2 linked regions of the Canis lupus familiaris genome follow. The protein of the gene in region 1 purifies or fractionates together with the protein of each later gene. This does not show direct contact. Links are inferred from orthologs where the notes say so. Each region holds a gene or a part of one and is shown in the gene's direction. Other genes may lie near its edges.

Region 1 (10,484 bases):
CCCAGCAAACGTTTCCCCCTCTTAGCAAGCCCTCCAGGCCTCGGTTCCACATTTTGCAGTTGACTGCGTGGATTTTAATAGGTTGTTCCTTTATTTTCGGGCCCAATCCATGCACACTGTACAAGCCGGATAAAATGAGAGCACATCCTCTGCCATTTTCAGGCGGTTTGCCCTGGCAGCCCTGCCCCCCTCCTTGGCTGCCGCAGCCGCTGGAGTTAAAGCTGAGCGCCGAAACTCCGCCTGATCCGTTGGGCGGGAGATCCAGTCCACGTTTGCCAAGTGCTGTGCGGTCGGGGATGGCGATAAGAACTCTCTTGTGAGGGAGTGAGCAAGACTTTAGTCCGGTTTCCATGTCAACGATTCAGTCCATATTTGCCATCAGGCTGTTGGTGGCTGAGGCGCTTTCGTGAGGGTAGCGCTGTCCTAGTCCTAGTTCTCCAATCTGCGCCGGGATTCCTGAGCTGCCTGGGTGTGGGGTTAAAACACTGGGGCTGTGGGGGAGAAAAGTCCACGGGGAGAACCCGCAGCCCCAAACCTGGGTCCTGGAGCTCCGGCCAGCCACGTGCCCAGTACCTCCCCTCCCCCCTTTCCCGCTGCCATTGCCCCTAGGGAAAGCTGATGGGCCAGTTTCTAAGAAAGTTCCCTTCAACTCGGGAGTCCTTGGGATAGTGGCATAGGGCTCTAAGGGTAGGGGTGGAAGAGAATCCTAAAGGATTGGAGATTTAAGACAAATGGAAAAAGAGAAATTCCACATTGCCTCCTCCAGCCCAGGTGGATAGATTGTTAAATGCACTTTACCTTGTTGCTAGATAAAAATGGTGGCTGTTTTCAAAACAGCTCGCCCACGTGTAGGAAAGGGATTTGGGCACTTTCCGAATTTCACAACCATTGAAAAAGGGATGAGGGCTTTCTCTGGAGACAGATCCATTTTGGCTTCCAGATTTTCACTGGGCTCCAGGTTTCCCATTACACTCCAGCTCTGAGGAAAATGGCAGGGTAATTGCATGTAAAAAGTCCTCATTTGTGTGCAGGACTCAGGACTGTTTGCCAGCTCAGAAGCAGTTGATTAAATAGCCAAGCTCCATTTATGAGGCAGCCTATAATTTGGTTTCTAGGACCTAATGCACCGGGAGAGTAGTTGCCCCTGAGGACTTCAGTGAGTGAAACGAGGGCACTGGCCCATTCCAGTCAGTCAGAGCCTGATAGTTTGATTCTTGGCTTGAGACAGAACCCCCCCACCCCCACCAGTCTTAGATTAACAAGAAGGTTTTGCCTTTGTAGTGTAAGATCATATTATGTTTTCTTCAGAGTAGGGATGACTTCAGGTTTTTGGAATTACTCACGGTGACCAGTGGCATGGCTAGAACTTGTCGAAGGGGCCTGCATGATCTGGAAGTTCTAATATAATGGATCTGTGGCCATGAAGTCTCCATTTATAAAATCTGAGGGGGAAAGAGGCTCTGGTGTCTAGTGACTATAGCCTGGGCCTCTCCTAAGGCAGCCTTGGGCCTGGTGAGGAGCTGGAATCCCCTCTGGCTTTTGTAGCCTGTCACGTCAGAGCATTCCAAGTCAGCATGAGGAGGAAAAGGCTGCTGCTGGGATTTGATAGGGCCTGTAGCTCTATCTAGAGTTTTCTATGTATACCTCTAGCTCAACTGGCATCTCTTGGAATATAATAGTAAACTTTGAAGAATCTTTACACTGGAGGATAGAAAACAAATTTAGTTGCATCCATTTTCTAAGTGACCTGTTAGACTGCCCCTTTTCTCTCTTTAAGGAGAAAATGGGGGGCACCTGGGTGGCTTAGTGGTTGAGCATCTGCCTTTGGCTCAGGTCATGATCCCAGGGTCCTGGGATGCAGTCCCTGCAGGGAGCCTGCTTCTCCCTCTGCCTCTACCTCTGCCTCTCTCTGTGTCTCTCATGAATGAATAAAATCTTTAAAATAATAAGAGAGAAAACGGATTCCCTCCCAGCAGCCATTCTTCTTCTGCACTGGTGCCTTTGAACAGTTTCCTCCAGTCCCTGGAGCCTCTTCTGTCCACTGCTCACATTCTTATAGGTATTGTCTTCAGAGACTGGGACTATTGGTCATTGTGGGCTAAGTTCTCCCAGGAGGAAAAGATCGGGCTTGAGTTCTCCTGAGAAGGCTGTCATATGCCCCCAAAGTAGTTTCAGTGGTCATCATCTTATGTCGGCGTTGAGATGATCTAAGGTTGAGATGATCAGCTTTGATCTCAAACCCATTCTTCTGTTCCCATTGTTGGATACGGCACACGACTTGATTGCTTTTTTTTTTTTTTTTTTTTAAGGCTAAGTAGATGGGAAAACTTGGGGAACTTGGCTACTTTTTAAAATCACCCTCTGCCCTCTGACAGGGCAGTCCCTTTCCCTCTGTGTTCCAATTCTCTAAAATGGGGATAATCGGACCTCATGGCCCCCCAGGCCCATGGGCCTTATGAGGCCGGGCTAATGAGGGTAGGGGAGTGGGAAAACGGAAAGTCTGAACAATGATCTGTCATTCCGTTGGGCTTGCAAAGGGGATAAAATGTAAGGCCCTGCTCGCTCACTCAGCTGGGTCTTTAAGACCGGGTTTGTAAAAGGCTTTGAAGAAAAGTGCTGTAGAGGTGCTAAGTAGCAGCCAAGAGACCAGGCCCGCTGCCAGGGGGTCAGGCCTGGGCCGAGGCGGCCGCGGTCTCGGGCTCTGGCCAATTTTGCAGCCGCGAGTAAAGTTCACGCTGCCCGCTCCCCTCGGTGCGGCCTGGAGGGGACCGACCCGGATAGGAACGCCAGAAGGGAGGCGGCGCAGGCTCCGAGAGGCGCGGGCTCCGGGCCGGGTTTTCCCCGAAGCCTTCAGCGGCGGCGCTGCCGAGCGAAAGCGGCAGAGGGCCTGCCGCCGCCGCGGCTCGTTCTCTCCCCTCCTCCTTTGTGAGGGGAAGGGAGCGAGTCCGTTCCATGGCCTGCGCCCGCTCCGCGCTCCATTCCGGGTTTGCCAGGCGGCCGCGACGGCGCTGGGTAAAATGGCAGTGCTGAGCCTCGTGTCGGAGTGAGGGGGACTCGGAGGAGAGTGGGGCGCTCTAGCCGCTCAGTCCGGCCGCCCGCCCGCCCGCCAGCCCGCTGCCGCGCAGCAGCCTCGGCCCGCGCCGCGGCCGGGGAGGGGAGGCAGGGCGCCCGGCCCGGCCCGCGCTCCGACTCTGCCTCCCGGCGCCCGGGCTGCTGCCGCGCGCCCTCCAGCCCGCCCGTCCCGGGTCCCCCTCCCCCCGCTCCCTCCCTCCCTCCCTCCCCGCCCCCTCCCCCTCGCCTCCCTCCCTCCCTCCCTCCTCCTTTCTCCGGCAGCAGAAAGCGGAGAGTCACAGCGGGGCCAGGCCCTGGGGAGCGGAGCCTCCACCGCCCCCCTCATTCCCAGGCAAGGGCTTGGGGGGAATGAGCCGGGAGAGCCGGGTCCCGAGCCTACAGAGCCGGGAGCAGCTGAGCCGCCGGCGCCTCGGCCGCCGCCGCCTCCTCCTCCTCCGCCGCCGCCAGCCCGGAGCCTGAGCCGGCGGGGCGGGGGGGAGAGGAGCGAGCGAGCGAGCGCCGCGCAGCAGCGGAGCCCCGCGAGGCCCGCCCGGGCGGGTGGGGAGGGCAGCCCGGGGGACTCGGCCCCGGGGCGGGGTGGGAGGGGGGGAGAAGACGAAGACAGGGCCGGGTCTCTCCGCGGACGAGACAGCGGGGATCATGGCCGCGCAGGTCGCCCCCGCCGCCGCCAGCAGCCTGGGCAACCCGCCGCCGCCGCCCTCGGAGCTGAAGAAAGCGGAGCAGCAGCAGCGGGAGGAGGCGGGGGGCGAGGCGGCGGCGGCGGCAGCGGCCGAGCGCGGGGAAATGAAGGCAGCCGCCGGGCAGGAGAGCGAGGGCCCCGCCGTGGGGCCGCCGCAGCCACTGGGAAAGGAGCTGCAGGACGGGGCCGAGAGCAATGGGGGTGGCGGCGGCGGTGGAGCCGGCGCCGGCGGCGGGCCCGGCGCGGAGCCGGACCTGAAGAACTCGAACGGGAACGCGGGCCCTAGGCCCGCCCTGAACAATAACCTCACGGAGCCGCCCGGCGGCGGCGGCGGCGGCAGCAGCGATGGGGTGGGGGCGCCTCCTCACTCAGCCGCGGCCGCCTTGCCGCCCCCAGCCTACGGCTTCGGGCAACCCTACGGCCGGAGCCCGTCTGCCGTCGCCGCCGCGGCGGCCGCCGTCTTCCACCAACAACATGGCGGACAACAAAGCCCTGGCCTGGCAGCGCTGCAGAGCGGCGGCGGCGGCGGGGGCCTGGAGCCCTACGCGGGGCCCCAGCAGAACTCGCACGACCACGGCTTCCCCAACCACCAGTACAACTCCTACTACCCCAACCGCAGCGCCTACCCCCCGCCCCCCCAGGCCTACGCGCTGAGCTCCCCGAGAGGTGGCACTCCGGGCTCCGGCGCGGCGGCGGCCGCCGGCTCCAAGCCGCCTCCGTCTTCCAGCGCCTCCGCCTCCTCGTCGTCTTCGTCCTTCGCTCAGCAGCGCTTCGGGGCCATGGGGGGAGGCGGCCCCTCAGCGGCCGGCGGGGGAACCCCCCAGCCCACCGCCACCCCCACCCTCAACCAACTGCTCACGTCGCCCAGCTCGGCCCGGGGCTACCAGGGCTACCCCGGGGGCGACTACGGCGGCGGGCCCCAGGACGGGGGCGCCGGCAAGGGCCCGGCGGACATGGCCTCGCAGTGCTGGGGGGCTGCGGCGGCGGCGGCGGCGGCGGCAGCAGCCGCCTCGGGAGGGGCCCAACAAAGGAGCCACCACGCGCCCATGAGCCCCGGGAGCAGCGGCGGCGGGGCGCAGCCGCTCGCCCGGACCCCGCAGGTACACAGCTGAGTGGGGAGGGGGCCGGGGCGAGCGGGGTCCTGGGAGTGGGTGGCGGCTGCGGGGAGCAGGCCACAGCCTTGGGCTACCCCCAGTCCGGGGCCCCCACTGCTGGGGAGCTGCCATTGTCTGGCTCTTCTCTTAAAATGGCTGCCTGTCTGCCTTCCTCTCCTTCCCTCCTTCAGCCTTTGTGTGGGGCTTTCCCTGAGGTGTCTGCTCCCCTTCTCCCTCTCCCCTGGTCCCTTCGCGCTCCTGGGGTCTTCGAGGGGGTGCGGGGCAGAATGTGCGGGGAAGGGCCTGGCCCGGGGTTGAGGGGTGTGTTGGGGGCTCAGGTTGGGGTGTGCAGAGCTAGGAGCTCGGGAGTTGAGTGAACAATTCTTTGCTCACCTGCCGCTCCTCTCTGCCCGCCCTCCTGCCTTCCTCTAGGCCGTTCCCCATCTGTGCTTTCAAGGAGGGGCCCCTCGGGCTCTGGGGTACCTCGGGGGAGGGCAGGGGCCTGCTTGGGGGCAGCTAAAGGCCGGCTGCGGTTCACCCAGGGCAGCCCGGGCCATCTCCTGTCTTAGTCTCCGTCGGCCCAGTGGCCTGGGCTTCTCCCTGGAAGTGCTGGTAAACAGCTGAGTGATTGGAGTAGTAAGTGCAGATTGCTTTGGTTTGGGATTTGAATTATGGAGGTAAAATCCTTCTGTCAAAGCCAGGAGACAGTTGGTCTTAGGTTGACATCCTATCTGTGATCTGATTGGCTCCCCATCTCCTGCTCTTGGCCATTTATAATTGCCTCTGATGTAATGGTACAACAATCCTGATGAGCTCATAAACTTTTACACTCTGCTTTTCTGCCAGTGATAACCCAAACCATCGCTGCCACTATCTGCCTTTTATTCCAGAGCTGAAATTGGCTGTGACCTTGAGGAGGAAGGTTTAAGCAGCAATACTGTATCAGCAGGAGCAGAGCCCCAGACAGGCTGCCCTTGTTACATTGTGCCGAAACAAAAGAGGAGGCAGTGGCATTTTGCTTGTACCTTGGATTTATTTTGCTTGTTATGTTTTATGCAGCCTGAAATAGATTCTGTGTTGTCAGAACAGTAGCTGAGTTTTTCTCTACAATGGGTTTGCTGTTTGTTTTGGTTTTGTGACTTTCCTGGTGGTATAAATGACTTCTTTGATGGCTCTGAAGATGCATTTGTCTTGAGTAATTTTGACCCTGTTCGCGTTGCAGAATTGAGATTATTTTACTGGGATTTTTATTGAGTGACAAATGTGGGATCTTTATGGGAGGGGGTAGAAGAAAACTTTTTTTTTCTTTTTCTTTTTTTTTTTTTTTTTTTTTGAACTGGAAGCTTCCTGAGAGAATTTCATATTACGTTCAAGTGTTCTGTTTTAAGGAAGACTGGCCTCATTCTTTGTTTACATGTTGAATCTTGTTAACTCTTTTGTTAATTGAACTTTGAGAAAGCAGCTCAATTTAAAGAGAAGCCGATATCTTTTATGATCTTGGGAGGGACTTTCTCCTAAAGGCCTGGTTTGGTAAAATTTATCATTTGTTCCTGGGATATCAAAAAGGCTAGTTTTCTGTTTTGTCATCAGTCACTTTAGAGCTTTGAGATAGAGGTCAACTAATTTTTTCTTTGCATTTTAAGGTATGTTCCATTGTGTTTTCTGTGTTCCAAGATAATGAAAATATCACCTATAATGATACTTGATACTTGCTTAGAAATGACAACATTTAGGTACATTTTTATGCATTCTAGTTTATTTTGCTCTTAATATCCCTTCATGTTCTTACTTCAGTGCTTTAGTCAAGAATATTGGGTATTCTGTGGAGTCCTGTATCTTTTCAGAGAGAAAAAGCTCTTTGTGCCCCCACCACCACCACCCTAGCAGTACCCAGTTGTACCTTCCTGCTATTAGATTTTGTTCACTGATGAGCCGTATTCCTTCCTCATCCTAGAACTGCTTTCCTCTTCTATTGAGCTGGGAATTATGAAAATAGCTGTATTAAATGGCAGATTTAGATCTCTGTGCCTTGACTCTACATTGTCTGTAATGTTCTGTGTTTGGGCAAGAAACGGAAATTTTAAATTGAATTTCTGGTGCTAGAGGATTAAGTTTTGTCTTAGAAAAGAGAGTATCCTCTTGTCTCTGGATAAGAGACCTATTACATCTTTTTCCCCTTGAGGGGAGAGGGTCTGAGCCATTTACCTTTCTTAAATTTTTAGAGGAAGTAATTTGGGTAGGTCCAGACTCATTTAAAAGCAAAAATTAGTTTGAATTATGTTGGTTTGAGGGTATTCAGGCATACACTTTGTTTTTGGGGGGGGGGATAAAACCAACTTTTGCCATATAGTGATTTCTGGTTTTCAGTCATTAAACAAATATTTGAGCACTTTTTATGTGCTAAGTACTATGCTCTGTGCTGAGTAAATGGTAGAAAAATAGATGTAGTCCCTCTCTGGAAGCTTGTCTGTGCTGCCTCTGGGTGAATTTTTTGGATTCACTTTTAACACTAACTGTTCTTAGCACTTCATGCAACATAAGTTCCTGTTCAATTTCAGTTCACTTGCTTACTCCCCTGATACCCAGAGAATGGGCTGGTGAGTGTTCACTTGTGGGAAGAGACCGTGCAACTTTTTCAGTTTTGTGGTAGGCTCCATGCGGCATGTAGGTGGATAGATTTTGATATGAATTCCTCTTTGCTACTTAGGGATAAATCTCTTGTCAGACGATGATGGCTTATTCTTAAGCATTCTTAAATAATAGGGTCTTGCTCTGTCCCATTCTCAGTCTTGGATTAAGACTGTTTTGCAGAGAATTGATTGACACAGCTAAGGTGGTAATGTTCTCATTTGACTCTTCCTTTATGAAATAAAGATTAGCTAAGTGTTTGTATTGTGGCTCTGTCTTTTTCACAGGAGCGGGAGGATCCCAGCAGGCAAACTTTTCCTTTATCGCTTTCCATAACTAATAGTGTGTCTCAAGGTGTTGAATCCTGCTACTGCTGAAATACTTTTTGGTCACCTATGCACTTGAACCTCATGTAAAGTTTTTTATTTGGGATGCTGTTAGCTCTCATACCTTGAGAGTAGTATCAGCTCATCAAAGTAAAAAATGAAATAGAATATGTAGTCCAGGATCAAGATGGATTTGATTGTAGAAGTTTGGCTGTTAGTTCTTGGTATAGAAATATAAAATGATATTTCTTACTCCTGGGAAACAAATACAAGAATCTTGGGCTTATTATGGGAATGCCTACTGGCAGAAATTCTGGGCTGGCTAAAATACAGGACTCTTGGAGCTCTCTCAAGTAGGAGGGACCAGGAAAACCACACTGAGACGGCACTTAGTTGTGAGGCTTCATGTTTCTCTACTGTCCATGAGAGAACTAGGGATGATGGGGGTTGGGATGGTGGCAAGTGAAGAGAAAGCATCAGAACCAAGGTTGGCTTCTTTGTATTAGGCCCTGCAAGGACTTTTTAAGGTTCCTTCCTTTGTATGTGACACAGAGTAAACCATGACAAGTGGCACCTGCTGTAATAAGATGTCTTGGATTGCATTAAACATTCATCTGTTGGATTGATTCCTGTAGGTGTGCTGTCTAAAGTAGGCTTTGGCAGCAAGGTTAGTGAAACTCTTTTTTAAAATGTGGAAATAGGCTAACAAAGTAATGATCAGGGCCCTTTCCCAATAGCTCCCCCACCGCCGCTGCCCTGCTCCCCCCTTCAAGGTTGTATTGGTTGGCTTCAAATCCCAAAATTCTAGAAGCAACTGAACCAAGCAAATGTCTGGTTAAAATATGGTATTCAAAATACGTTGGGACTGAATTGTTCTTTCCTGCCAGTGAGCTAGGATACCTTGGTCTTTAAAATGGAGTCCTGATTCTCATGGCTTTTATCTCTGGGTTTCTCCTTGTTTAGATTGGTCATTATCATTATTGATGCACACTGAGTTGTGTGTGACATAGTGGTGAGGGATTAAGAGCACAAGACTCAGGAGCAAGAGGCTTTGGTTCCACATGCAGCTCTAGATTGAGCTGTGTGATTTGGGGCAAGCCATTCACCTCGGTTTTATTTTCTCTTCATCAGTAAAGTGAAGTTGGTGGACTGCATGGCCTTCTTTCTGTCTGATGCTACATATTGGGCTGTGCTTTCATACCTGACTTAATTATGAGGGCAGCTTCTTCCTGTACAGGTACCGGTAGGGGTCTTGAGACTTATCTTTCTTCCTGTGGGCCTGAAGAACTCAAGGCTGTTTTTCTCCTAAGGATTTACAGGAGCAAGCTCTGAACAGTGGGTACCACAATGATCTGTGGCCCTTTACGGAAAAAGCGCTACCAGACTATTTTGCTTTGAAACTTTGTTTGTCATTAATCATTCCACCTGGCTGGTTGTTAAAACACTAAACATTAATTGAAAAATTGGGCAGACTTCATTAAAGCAAGACTTGAAAAACAGTTGCTTCAGAATCTCCAAGAGGGGATTTTGGGAGTAGATTCATGGTAGGGTAGGGAGTAGATTCTCTTAATATTAACACTTTGCATTTGGTGGGATAGAAAGCGGGGGAGAGATAGCCTTAAGTTTTCCAGACTCTCTGGGTGTTTGGGCAGGTCTAGGTCTGGTTTGGGCAGTTGATTGTAATCTGAGTGCCTGAACTTGCCCTGTAAGTTTTGCTGAGAGAGGAGCAAAAGTTCCTGAGACTGGAACAGGAAAAGCCAAGCATTTACAGGGTCAATTTCATAGGCCTGTTGCCTTTTCTCATACCTTTGGTTTTTTGAAACTACATGGTGTGATTTGCAGGTGATCCTGGGAATGATGTTCTCTTCTCCAGCACACCTGAATTTCCATTCTTTCTCCTCCTAGCTTAGTTAGTTTAGAAGTATAATTTAGGCATGTTAGAAGTATGCTTGAAGGGAGCTTTCCTTTATAAAAGAGGGGAAAAGGTAGAGGAAAAGGTGTTTGATAATTCTCTGCTTGACACAGCAGCTTCTTCCTTTCTGAAGGAACCAAATGTTTCAGAGCTTTGTGTAAATACTTGCTGAGCTGTCAATATGTACCCAGGAGGTTTCTGTAGTAAGATGTAAACGGCTCTATAGAATGTTTGACAGGCAAATTAATAAACAGTTTTCAAGCAAAGATAATGCTAGTCTGTTCTCATGTGGTGGAATAAAATAACATTGGAGAAAAAGAAATGTGGGTAGGGAAGAGGTAGTACTGGGGTTATGGAGACACGGAGAGATGATCTAAAAGAGATTGGAAGTGAAAAGATGCTGCCCTCGAAGAGAAGCCTCCATGGTCCTGGCTCTAGGCTAAGTTCAGGGCAATGGAGCCCCTGTTCAAAATGGATTGCAGTTTCAGAGTAAAAATAAACAGAAGTTTGGAAAGAAGATTCTAAGTTTCAGTATTGAGGTAAGTGTGCTCCAAAAACTTGGTTTATGAGACTTTGAGTTTGACTTATGAGCCTCGTTCTTTCGGAAAGGTTTTGTAGTTTGGTGAGATGTTTTTAGGGTTGGGTTTGCGTTTTTGGAATACCAGAAAGGAGGGGAAAAAAAGATACTGCAGCTTCTGGGTCGTCCTCGGCTTCTGTTTTGCTGTGGCTCTCAGAATTATAAGCCCACTTTACAGGTTGGGTTTATTGTATAG
Region 2 (10,253 bases), on another chromosome or scaffold:
AAACATTCTAAAAAGCCACCACATGCTGACAAAATAATAAGGAATAGCAGAAATTGAAGGAAAAAGAGAACCCTGAAAGATAATCCATCAAAGAAGCCATCTTAACCCTGCAGATAATCAGTCTAGAATATTTGAACTCTAGCATGAATGGTTTTTTGAGCTAAGAGGCCAGAAATAAAAGTCCAGGTGGGAGATGAGACTTGCCCCACAATAATTTGAGACCCTATTGGTATGCTGGTAAATGTTTACCAACCAGCTTTGGGTGGGGTTGGGGAAAAGATCCTGACATATAGCTTTGCCAATTTTCATGGTGTTTTCATTTTTTTTTTAAATTTATTTATTTTTGATAGTCACACAGAGAGAGAGAGAGAGAGAGAGAAAGGCAGAGACACAGGCAGAGGGAGAAGCAGGCTCCCTGCACAGGGAGCCCGACGTGGGATTCGATCCCGGGTCTCCAGGATCGTGCCCTAGGCCAAAGGCAGGCGCCAAACCGCTGCGCCACCCAGGGATCCCTTCATGGTGTTTTCAAACCATCAACATGGGGTCACTGTACACAAAGTTGAAAAGTGTAGGTCTGTTAGCCAGCTGCTCACATCACTGATACACCTTCCCCCTCCAACCTGCATAGGATACTAAGCAAACCAGACTAGCTCAATAGGGCAGCCTGTATTTGTATCATCTGGGTGGCCCAGGGACCCAGAAGCCCTGAATCTGGATGTAGGTAGTCCTGGAATAGCAGTGCCCTCAGGAGCCTATCAGAAGCAAACGTAGGGGAGCCTGGGTGGCTCAGTGGTTGAGTGTCTGTCTTTGGCTCAGGTTGTGATCCTGGAGTCCTGGGATCGAGTCTCACATAGGGCTCCCCGCAGGGAGCCTGCTTCTCCCTCTGACTATGTCTTTGCCTCTCTCTCTGTGTCTCTCATGAATAAAATCTAAAAAACAAAAACAAAACAAAACAAAAAAAAAAAAAAAACAAAGGTAAATCTCTGGAGGCAGGTAACTTCGTCCTAAGCCTCAAATTATCACTGTAAATAAATCTTAAAATACAGTGCCTAGCATGGCCAAAGAGAACCAGGCTGATCACAAGGAAATAGGATACCATGAGCAAGAACTAGGAGAAACAGATCCTGAGATACTTGAAATATTAGAATTATCAGACACAGATTGTAAAACAACTGTGCTTTGTTGAAAGGAAGGTTAAAAAATATCTGCAGAGGACAGGGAACTATAGAAAGTGACACTCTAGATTTACAAAGAACATTTGTAGAAAGCCTTATAGTTTAATCAGAGATCAAGAACACAAATACGTCCAGGGGCCATCTGGTAATGTGAGTGAGTAAAGAGACCTGGTGACACACTGGTGACCTGGAAAGCTTCCTCTGAGGGCCACAGGGCACCTCACCCTCAGCTGATTGTTACATGTAGCACTGGGGGACCAGTCTGCAGATTTTCCACTACTTTTGGAGGAGCTGGATATTTGGATTTCTTTTTATTGTGGTAAATACATATAAAATTGACCACTGTAAGATTTTTAGGTGTACAGTTCAGTGACATTAAGTATATTCACAATGGTGTACAGTAATCACCATTATCTAATTCCAGAACTTTTTCATCACTCCAAAAAAAAAACCTCATACCCCTTGGAAGTCCCTCTCTATTCCCACCCCCACCCCCAGCCCCTGGCAACCACCAGTCTGCTTTGTCTCAATGGATTTGCCCAGTCTAGATATCTCATGTAAGTGGAATCATATAATATTTGTCCTTTTGTGACTGGCTTATCTTACTTATTATGCTTTCAAAGTTCATCCATGCTGTGGGATGTATCAGTACTTCATTCCTTCTTAACACCTGAATAGCATTCTATTGTGTGGGTATACACATTTATTCATTCACCAGTTCGGTTTTTTATTTTTTTTCTGAAGATTTTATTTCTTTATTCATGAGAGACACAGAGAGAGGCAGAGACATAGGCAGAGGCAGAGGAAGAAGCAGGCTCCCTGTAGGGAGCCTGATGAGGGACTCTATCCCAGGACCCTGGGATCACACCCTGAGCTGAAGGCAGATGCTCAACCACTGAGCCACCCAGGTGACCCTGGTTTTTGAACTTTTGATATCTTCCTATTTTATTTTTTTTAAGTTTCATTTATTTATATAATTTCTATACCTGATATGGGATTCAAACTCACTACCTGGAGATCAAGAGATGCATGCTTCTCCGACTCAGTGAACCAGGTGCCCCAAAAATCTTTCTATTTTTTTCAGACATATATATTCAGAAGTTCTTTGTGGCCCTAAGCCATCAGAGGGTCAAGAGTAGAGAACAATGTTTTATAGCCTGCTGTGACGCATTTTCCTATATAATGTTCAGAATGATTCACTGAGGTATTATTTTATTTTTCGTATTAGGCATTCTATTTCCCCAGTAGCTTTTCTCCCCAAAACCTAAATCTCGGGATCCCTAGGTGGCGCAGCCGTTTAGCGCCTGCCTTTGGCCCAGGGTGCGATCCTGGAGACCCGGGATCGAGTCCCACGTCCGGCTCCTGGTGCATGGAGCCTGCTTCTCCCTCTGCCTATGTCTCTGCCTGTGTGTGTGTGTGTGTGTGTGTGTGTGTGTGACTATCATAAATAAATAAAAATTAAAAAAAAAAAACCTAAATCTCAGGGGAAACTGCTTGGTTCTGGAATGAGTGGGAGTCTGGGATCCAGCTTATGACTGTGACCTTGAACTTCCCTGGGACTCAGTTTCCCCGGGTAAAATGACTGGTGTTGGACTAGCTTATCTCTAAGAGACACTGGGTTTGCTACTAGGGTCACTCAGTTTCCCTAGCAACCATCTGGGCCCAAAGTAGCTCTGGTCCAGTCGGTGTAGTGGCCGCTGAACACAAAGATGTGGCACCTGGGTTATCCTGATAATTGCAGATTCTTCCCCAGAGCTGTCCTGAGGCACCATGCGGGAAGAAACCACCCCCAAAAGTCCTCCTTGTAGGCCGGCCAGCCCGTTTCACCTGCTAGGGTCATCTGTGCGCTGGCAGCATCTGGTCGGAGGCTGGGACTTTGGTCAGGAGTGGCTTCAAATTTAAATGGTGCTTTTCTGACAGCAACCCCAGAGGGAAAAGAGGAGCCCCAGTTGAAACGCTGATCATCGATGAGCTGTTCCTTCGCGGAAAGCTATTAATAGGCAAGGTCGACCGGCTAGTGGTCGCCCGGGTCCTGGCATCTTCCCTCCGGCTCTAGTTTTCCAAAAGGACGAGGGAAAGGGAAGCGACGTCCCAGCTCGCGTGTCTGCGCAGGGCGGAGGGCCAGCCGAGATCCTGGTTTCCCAACTCTCTCCAAGAGCACCTCGCATCCCGAATCGCCGCCTTCAACTCCGAGAAGTCAGGAGCCCCACAGGAAACTTGCATTATTGCACCCGCTGCCACGCACACCCGGGGCCGCGCACCGGCAGCCGAGGTGGCTCCCAAGGAGTGCGCCCCCCTGCACGGCCGGCCGCCCTCCCGGGGAGCGGGGGGCACCCCGCGGCCCCTTCGGCCTCCGAGTGAGTGTCCGCGCGCCGAGCGGGCGGCGGGGCGCGGGGAGCCGGGGGCCGCCGGCCGCCTCCCCCGGGGGCGCGGGGGTGGCGGGGGTCGCGGGGGTCGCGGGCGCCGGGCCGGGGGCGGGGGCGGCTCGCGGGGCGGGCGGCGGCGGGGCGCCCGGAGGCCGCACTGCTGGCGGCCGCGGCGGCGCTGCTCCCCCTGCTCGGTGCAGCTGGCGCCCGGCGCTTGCGCACTGGGCCCCGGGCGCGCGGCGGCTCCGGCTTTGTGTGTGTGTGTGTGAGTGTGTGTGAGTGTGTGAGAGAGTGTGTGTGTGAGTGTGTGAGTGAGTGAGCGGGCGGGCGGGCGGGCGCGAGTGTGGCCGCCGCGGAGCGCGAGCAGGACCCGGCGGGCGCGCTCCCCCAGCCTCTCTCTCCCCGCCAGAACCATGTCGGGCAGGTCGGTTCGAGCCGAGACCAGGAGCCGCGCCAAAGATGATATCAAGAGGGTCATGGCGGCTATCGAGAAAGTGCGCAAATGGTAAGCGGAGGCGCCTGCCCGCCTCCCGCCCGCCCGCCCGGCGCCGCGGCCGCCCCGACCCCCGGAGCACATACAAAAAGCCGGCGGGCGCCGCGGGCCCGGGACTTGGAGCGGCGGGCGGCGCGCGAGCCGGGTCACCTGCGCGAGGCGGGGGCCGTGGCCGCTGCCCAGGTGCGCTCGCGCCCGTCGCCCACCTGGCGCGGTGGCGGCGGCGGCGGCGGCGGCGGCGGCGGCGGCAGCCTGGAGGCGGCGGGGCGCCCCGGGCCGGGCGGGTGGAGCGGCGGGCCGGCCCCGCCGCGGCGCTCGGCTCCCGGGAGGGGGGCTCGGGGCCGGCCCCAGAAGCCATTTCGTTTTGTGCAAGTCACATGAAAGCGGCTTCCCGCGCGCCGGGGCCGCGATGCCGGCGGCGGAGGGGAGAGCGCGAGCTCCATTGTGCAGGCTCCGAGCGGGCCGCCGCCGTCTCCGTCTCCTCCCCGCGCGCCCCGGGCGGCGCAGCGCCGGCCCCCGCGCCCCTGCCCGCGCGCCGGGCCTCCCTCCCCCTCCCTCCCCCTCCCTCCCCGGCCGGCTGGCTCGCTCGCCGCTCGCTCCCCGCCTCCCAGGCCCGGGCGCCCTCGAGTCTGCGGAGTTTGCAGAGCGCGAGCCGTTTAAATTTAGCGCTTTGGGCTGCCTGGAGCGAGGGCTCTGGGCGAGGAAGAAAGATGGGGGCGAGCGCGAGGAGGAAGCGCCGGGCGGCGGCGGGCCCGGGCCCGGGGCGCCGGGCACCCCCTTCCAGCCGGCCCGGGCCCACCCTTCTGGCCCGAAGCCGCTCCTCGGCCGAGTCTGCCCTTCCCAGAGCCGCGGCTCGTGTGCGTGGTGCCGAGAGAGCCGTTGTTTTTGTTCTCTGCGCGGGGGAGAGAAGGTTCGGCGTCGGCCGCGCGTGTTCCCGGGGCTCACGCCGGGGTCCGTCCGGCGCCGCCTCGTCGCGATTCGCGCGACCGAACGTGTTCGCCTCCGGTCGAGGGTCTGGCCCCGCATCGGCCGCCGCGGGCCAGGCCCCGGGCGCAAGCACGTCGCCGCGCGAGCACATCCCCCCGGGCGGACTTGTTGAAAACTCCCAGCTCCTTGATTTCAACTTTATTATTATTATTTGTTTTTCCCACGGCTTCACCTGGGTCAGGGAGAGGGAGGAGCAGCCTCGACGTCCCGAGTGTCAGCCCTCGCCAGCTCGTCCTGACCTTTGACTTAAAGCCTAAAAAACTGGGCAGGCCCCTGGTGGGGTGTGTTTATGTTCAGGGGTGGCATTTCTTGAGTAAGGCCTTGGTCTCTAAAAACCGCTGGGGGTGAGCCTCCAGCCTCGCCGGATCACAAGTTAGCTGTCCTTTCTGAGTCAAACCCAACAAAAAAGGCAAGAGGAAAATCAATAAAGTCCACGTGCCCCTGGGCCTCCTATGGAAAGGGCTCTCTGCGGATGGCCGGATGCCCGGCCGAGGGCTGGGTTTGGCTCCAATGGGACAAAGAATTTTCAGAACCGTGAGAAGGGGAGGCCTTCCAAAGTTGAGATCGGAGTTTTCGGGGGCTGTGGGAGCTCCCCAGGGCACGCAGGGTGCCCAGTGCCTAACTGGAGCCATTTAAAAATGGCAGTAACAGCTGCAAGGCCAAAACACACACAGGAAAACAAGCCCACAGTCCCCTCTCTGGTGGGATTCCCAGAGGGAAGGCTAGGGTTGTCCCCTGTCTTAGAGCCTGTGCAAAGAAAGAACCAGTGTCTGGGCCTGGGTCCCTTCTGTCAGGGCCCAGGAGGTGAGAAAGGGGCTGGGGGCAAGCTGCCTTTCTCTGTTCAAGGAGGCGTGGTGGAGCTTTCTGCTCCAGGTTCCCAGCAGGACAGAGGCTCTTGCACCCTGACAGCTGCTCCTGTAGGGCCAGTCGGCCAGCTGCTCTGCAGGGAGGGCAGATGGAGCTATGGGGTTTTCTGCCCTGTGGGTGGCAGGACAGGCAGCCTGGAGGCGGGCAGTATTGCCTAGCTCACTTGGCCAGGCCTGTGTTTGGGGGAAGGGGACAAGAACGTGTTGCCCTCCCTCCCTCCCTCCCTGTGTTTTGGGAAACAGGTTATGATAAAGACCTCAGACTTCAGGGTCTAATGGCCAGGCTTCCAGTTCACTTTCTTGCTGTGACCTTGGACAAACTTCTTGAGCCATGGCAGCACCGGGTCTCAGTGCTGCTTTCTCCTTCTTAGAACAGGATCGTATCTCCAAAAGCACTTACTCCTGCAAATAGGAACAGTCACTAATGGTGTCCTTATTGTAAGGTGGATGCTGTAACATTTATGTTTTGCTAATTTTTTTTTCTTTTTTCTTTTTTCCCTGCCCGTTTTAAGCAAAAAATACTTCATTTTATTTCCAGGGTTTCCCTGGCCCTTGAGAAGTCAAATCTCACCTTCACTGTACTTTCAGAATAGTCCTTCCAGTCAGTCCTTGAGGCTTTGGGTTGTTTATTAACTGCGTGGCCACCAACCATGCGTTTCACTAGTAGCGGGGACATCGGGTTGCCAGATTTAGCAAATAAAATTAGAGGATACCTAGTTAAATTTGAATTTTGGATAAACAATGAAATAACTTTTTAAAAATAAGTGATATAAAAAAAATAAAATAAAAATAAGTGATATATGTGTATAAATTTTAGTGTAAGTATGTCCCATGCAGTATTGGGACATACTTACACATACTTATGTAAATGTTACATATCTGAAATTCAAATTGAATTCAGCATCCTATATTTTATCCAGAGAACAGAGGTATCTGGAATACCATTTATTCCGTAACTCTAGGGTAGTATTTCTTCTCAGCCCTGGTGACCCCTAAAAATCCCCCCCTCTGCCAACCTTGAAAAAGCCAGCAGCCAGCCGTGACCACACCATCCCTAGCCACCAGCTGTTTTTCCTCCCTTGTCTGGTATCCCAGCAAGGCAGGCTGGTAGGCTGCGAAGCAGCCACAAGATGGCTGGAAGAAGAACAAAATGGTGGGCCCCCTTTTGGGAAACTGGGCCAGGGTTAGGGGCCCAGTGTGGGTGGAGAAGAGCAGGGGAGGAGGGTCATTGGGTGGGAGACAAAGACTTGAGCCACAGAGTAGGCCCTGGGACCCCTGGGACCCCTGGGCCCTTGGTCTGAAGGGTCCCTCAGTGACTTACTGAAGGAGAGAGTCCTGTTCCCTGGAGACTTCCCACTCATCCCTGAGGGAGGAAGAAACTTGACCGTGTTTAGGCCCTCACCACTTTACATTTGGGGATACCATCCTGCCAAGTGCAGGGCAGGGCAGATGAGCCTGGGCCTAGTTAGGACAACACCAGTCATAGACAAGACCTCCTAAGGTGTCAAGGACTAGCCCTGGGAGGTGAAATCAAAGTGAGGGATTTGCAGTCTCTTTGAGGGAGCCAGTGGGGTCCCCTCGGGCAGTGACCCCAAGATGGTCTCCTTGGCTAGCCTTTGGACCTGGACCGGGAAAAACATTAGAAATTGACCTTGGTCTAGACAATCTGTGACAGGTGCTTGTGGTTTATATGGGAGCCTGTGCTGGGGGCAGGGGAGTGTTTGGGGCTTTATTGCTATAGCTGGGACCCCCTTTTGTCCAGGAGCCCAAGTCTGGAGGGGGGAAAGGTACATACTTAAGCCTCACTGGTTACGGTGTGGGGGAGCAGCAGGGCAGAAGCACTCAGGGTGTGCCCACAGGCAGCTTTGTGGCAAGGTGGGGGTGCAGCCTGCTGAATCTGGGTCCAAAGCCTCCAGGGGAGTAAGTGCTGGGAGCTCCTTGAGAGTCCTTGTTCCTCAGGCACGTGGGCCCCTTGTGGCCAAGGCACTGTGTTTATCAGAGTAGTCAGCAATCTAGATTTCTATGTAGTCTTTCTTCTTCTTCTTCTTTCTTCTTCACTTTTTATTTATTTATTTGTTGTTGTTTTTTTATTTGAAAGAGAGACCACAAGCAGGGAGGAGAGGGAGAAGCAGGTTCCCTGCAGGCAGGGAGCCTGACACAGGGCTTGATCTCAGAACTCTAAGATCATCATCACCTGAGCCCAAGGCAGACGCTTAACCCACTGAGCCACTCAGGCGCCCCTGATTTTTTTCTTCTTAAAGCTTGTCAATTAGTTAAAATTTAAAAAACGAGTGTGCAGACCAGACAAAACATACCTGTTGGGCACTTGTTTGCCACCCCAGATATGAAGTAGTGAGTGCAGCTTAATTCCCTCAATGAGGGCAGGGGCTGTGTGCTCTGGGATGATAGGTTCGGGGATCTAGTAGGAACTCCACTGTTTCTCTGAGCGCAAGGTGCTGCCAGCAGGAGGAGACACTCAGAGCCCACTCACTGGTCATGTCTGTGAAATCCATTCTGTCCTGCCTGGTGCTTGCTCTAACTTACTGCCTGAGGCCCAGGACCTTGTCTCCCTGCTGGGCTGGTGGGCAAAGGCCAGACCGCAGGTCCATTCCTGAGGTTGGGTTCTTAATGCTTTTCCTTACGTCCTGTAGCCCCTCAGTATCCAGTAGAAAGGCAACTGAAGAAAGGTTTCTAATCTTTGGGCTGAGTTGGGGGACTCAGGCCATGGGGTCACCAACTGCAACAAAGGGAGGCATGAGAACCTGGCCGTGTCCGCCCTTAGGTTGCAGGGCCCTCAACCACTCAGGGAAGCATGTGCAGCTTGGGGATTCATCTTGGCTCGCATGTAGGCTGCAAAGCCCAGATCTGGCACACTTTCTGCCTTGAGATGCTGCGTCCTATGTTTTGCAAGTCAATTACTTTTGTTTTTGTTTTTAGCACAAACCTTGGATTTGCCGACCTACTGGGCCCTGGCCCATGAAGTCAGTTGAGGGATTGTGAGTAGTGAGTGCCTTTGGCCATTTGCGTGGGATGCTAGTGATTTGTGTTTCTTTGTCCAGCTTCTGTAACGGAGATGTGCTCTGTGGAATGATTTCTTAGTTTTTCACAGGAGATAGAATAGCAGAGAGTGGGCTCTTGGTCAGAGCCTGTGCCCAGTCCTGGTTCTGCCTTGGGCTAGCTGTGTGACCATGAACTAGTTCTGTAACCTCTCTGGACCTCTTGTTTCCCATCTGTAAAACGGAGTGACCATGGTTCTCCTCTCATAGACTTATTGAGCAGTTTTTGGGGGAGAGGGCTTTATTGTAAATAAAGTACTCGGCAGACATACACCTTTGGCACATGATGGCTGTTATTATTGTTTGTCACCAGGGTTGTTCTTGGAATGCCCCTGTCCCTTCCAGGTATCTTCTGATTATTCAGAATGAAGGTGGGGAAGGACAGGGATTATGGGTTGTCCATCTTGCCTCCAGGACATAGGAAATGGATGGGTGGTGACTTAGATATGTGCCTTTGTTTAATTCTTTCTGGACTAAAAGAGGGCAAGGATGGGGGTGGGAGGAGCTGTTCCTAAAAGCAATGCCATGTGGAAGCTTTGAATATTGGCCCTGGGAAAAACACCTTGATCTTCTTGTGCCTTGGTTTCTTTATCTGTCAAATGGGGAAAGTGACTGTTCCTGCCATAAAAGGTTATGGGAATATTAGAGCAAGTGTGTATGGGAGCTTAGCACATAGAAGGCACTAGACATGGTCCTAAAATAAATAAAAACCAAACCGTGGCTTCTTCCAGCAGGGAACATGTAGGACATGCAGAGGCATGATTTGGGGAATGGAGGTTTCTGTGGTTTGGGTTGCCTGGCTTTGAGTGTGTTTGGGTGCCCTGAGCCCCCCATGGTGAAGGAGTGCCAGGTGTAACGTGTCCCACCAGCACATGAAGGCCACCCACCCATAGAAGGAAGGCTGCTCAGGTACCTGGGAGCTCACAGAGAAGCTTATGCCACACATAAATCTCAGTTCTAGTGGAACCCTTGTCACTAAGATTGTTGGGGGCTTCTGGAAGCTATGCCACCTGTGCATCTGGCCCTCCATTCCACTGTCGGTTCCTTGAATCAGCTAACGTCCTCATCAGACAGCTGAGAGAGATCCTTTGTGACTTCCCACTTCTCCTAAGATGGCAGAGCCTGGTGCCAGGAACAGGGACCCTGGAGCCCAAACTGCTTGGATGGAGTTCCAGCTTGCTTTCTGTGTGATTCCTCTGAGCCTCGATATTGTCAGGTGCATGGCCTCTGGCTCTCATTCCCAGTGTTAGGGGCAGGGACATGACCTGACTTGTAGACTTCAGGGGTCAGGGACCAAAGTTTAGAGGCTG

The links. The genes of interacting proteins can lie anywhere in the genome.
Region 2: the proteins of ARID1A (region 1) and BCL7A purify together in Homo sapiens (affinity purification with mass spectrometry; 5 studies listed by BioGRID and IntAct, counting the BioPlex papers as one, with this or other methods). This does not show direct contact. The link is inferred for Canis lupus familiaris from reciprocal best matches to the Homo sapiens genes ARID1A and BCL7A.

What each region holds. Positions count from the first base shown.
Region 1 is NC_049223.1:72,791,378-72,801,861, reverse strand, and holds the start of ARID1A (AT-rich interactive domain-containing protein 1A), read left to right. Parts: upstream 1-3,696; 5' UTR 3,697-3,711; coding exon 3,712-4,851; intron 4,852-10,484. UniProt on the Homo sapiens protein: Involved in transcriptional activation and repression of select genes by chromatin remodeling (alteration of DNA-nucleosome topology).
Region 2 is NC_049247.1:7,518,964-7,529,216, reverse strand, and holds the start of BCL7A (B-cell CLL/lymphoma 7 protein family member A), read left to right. Parts: upstream 1-3,349; 5' UTR 3,350-3,532; intron 3,533-3,869; exon of another isoform or gene 3,870-3,950; 5' UTR 3,951-3,954; coding exon 3,955-4,046; intron 4,047-10,253.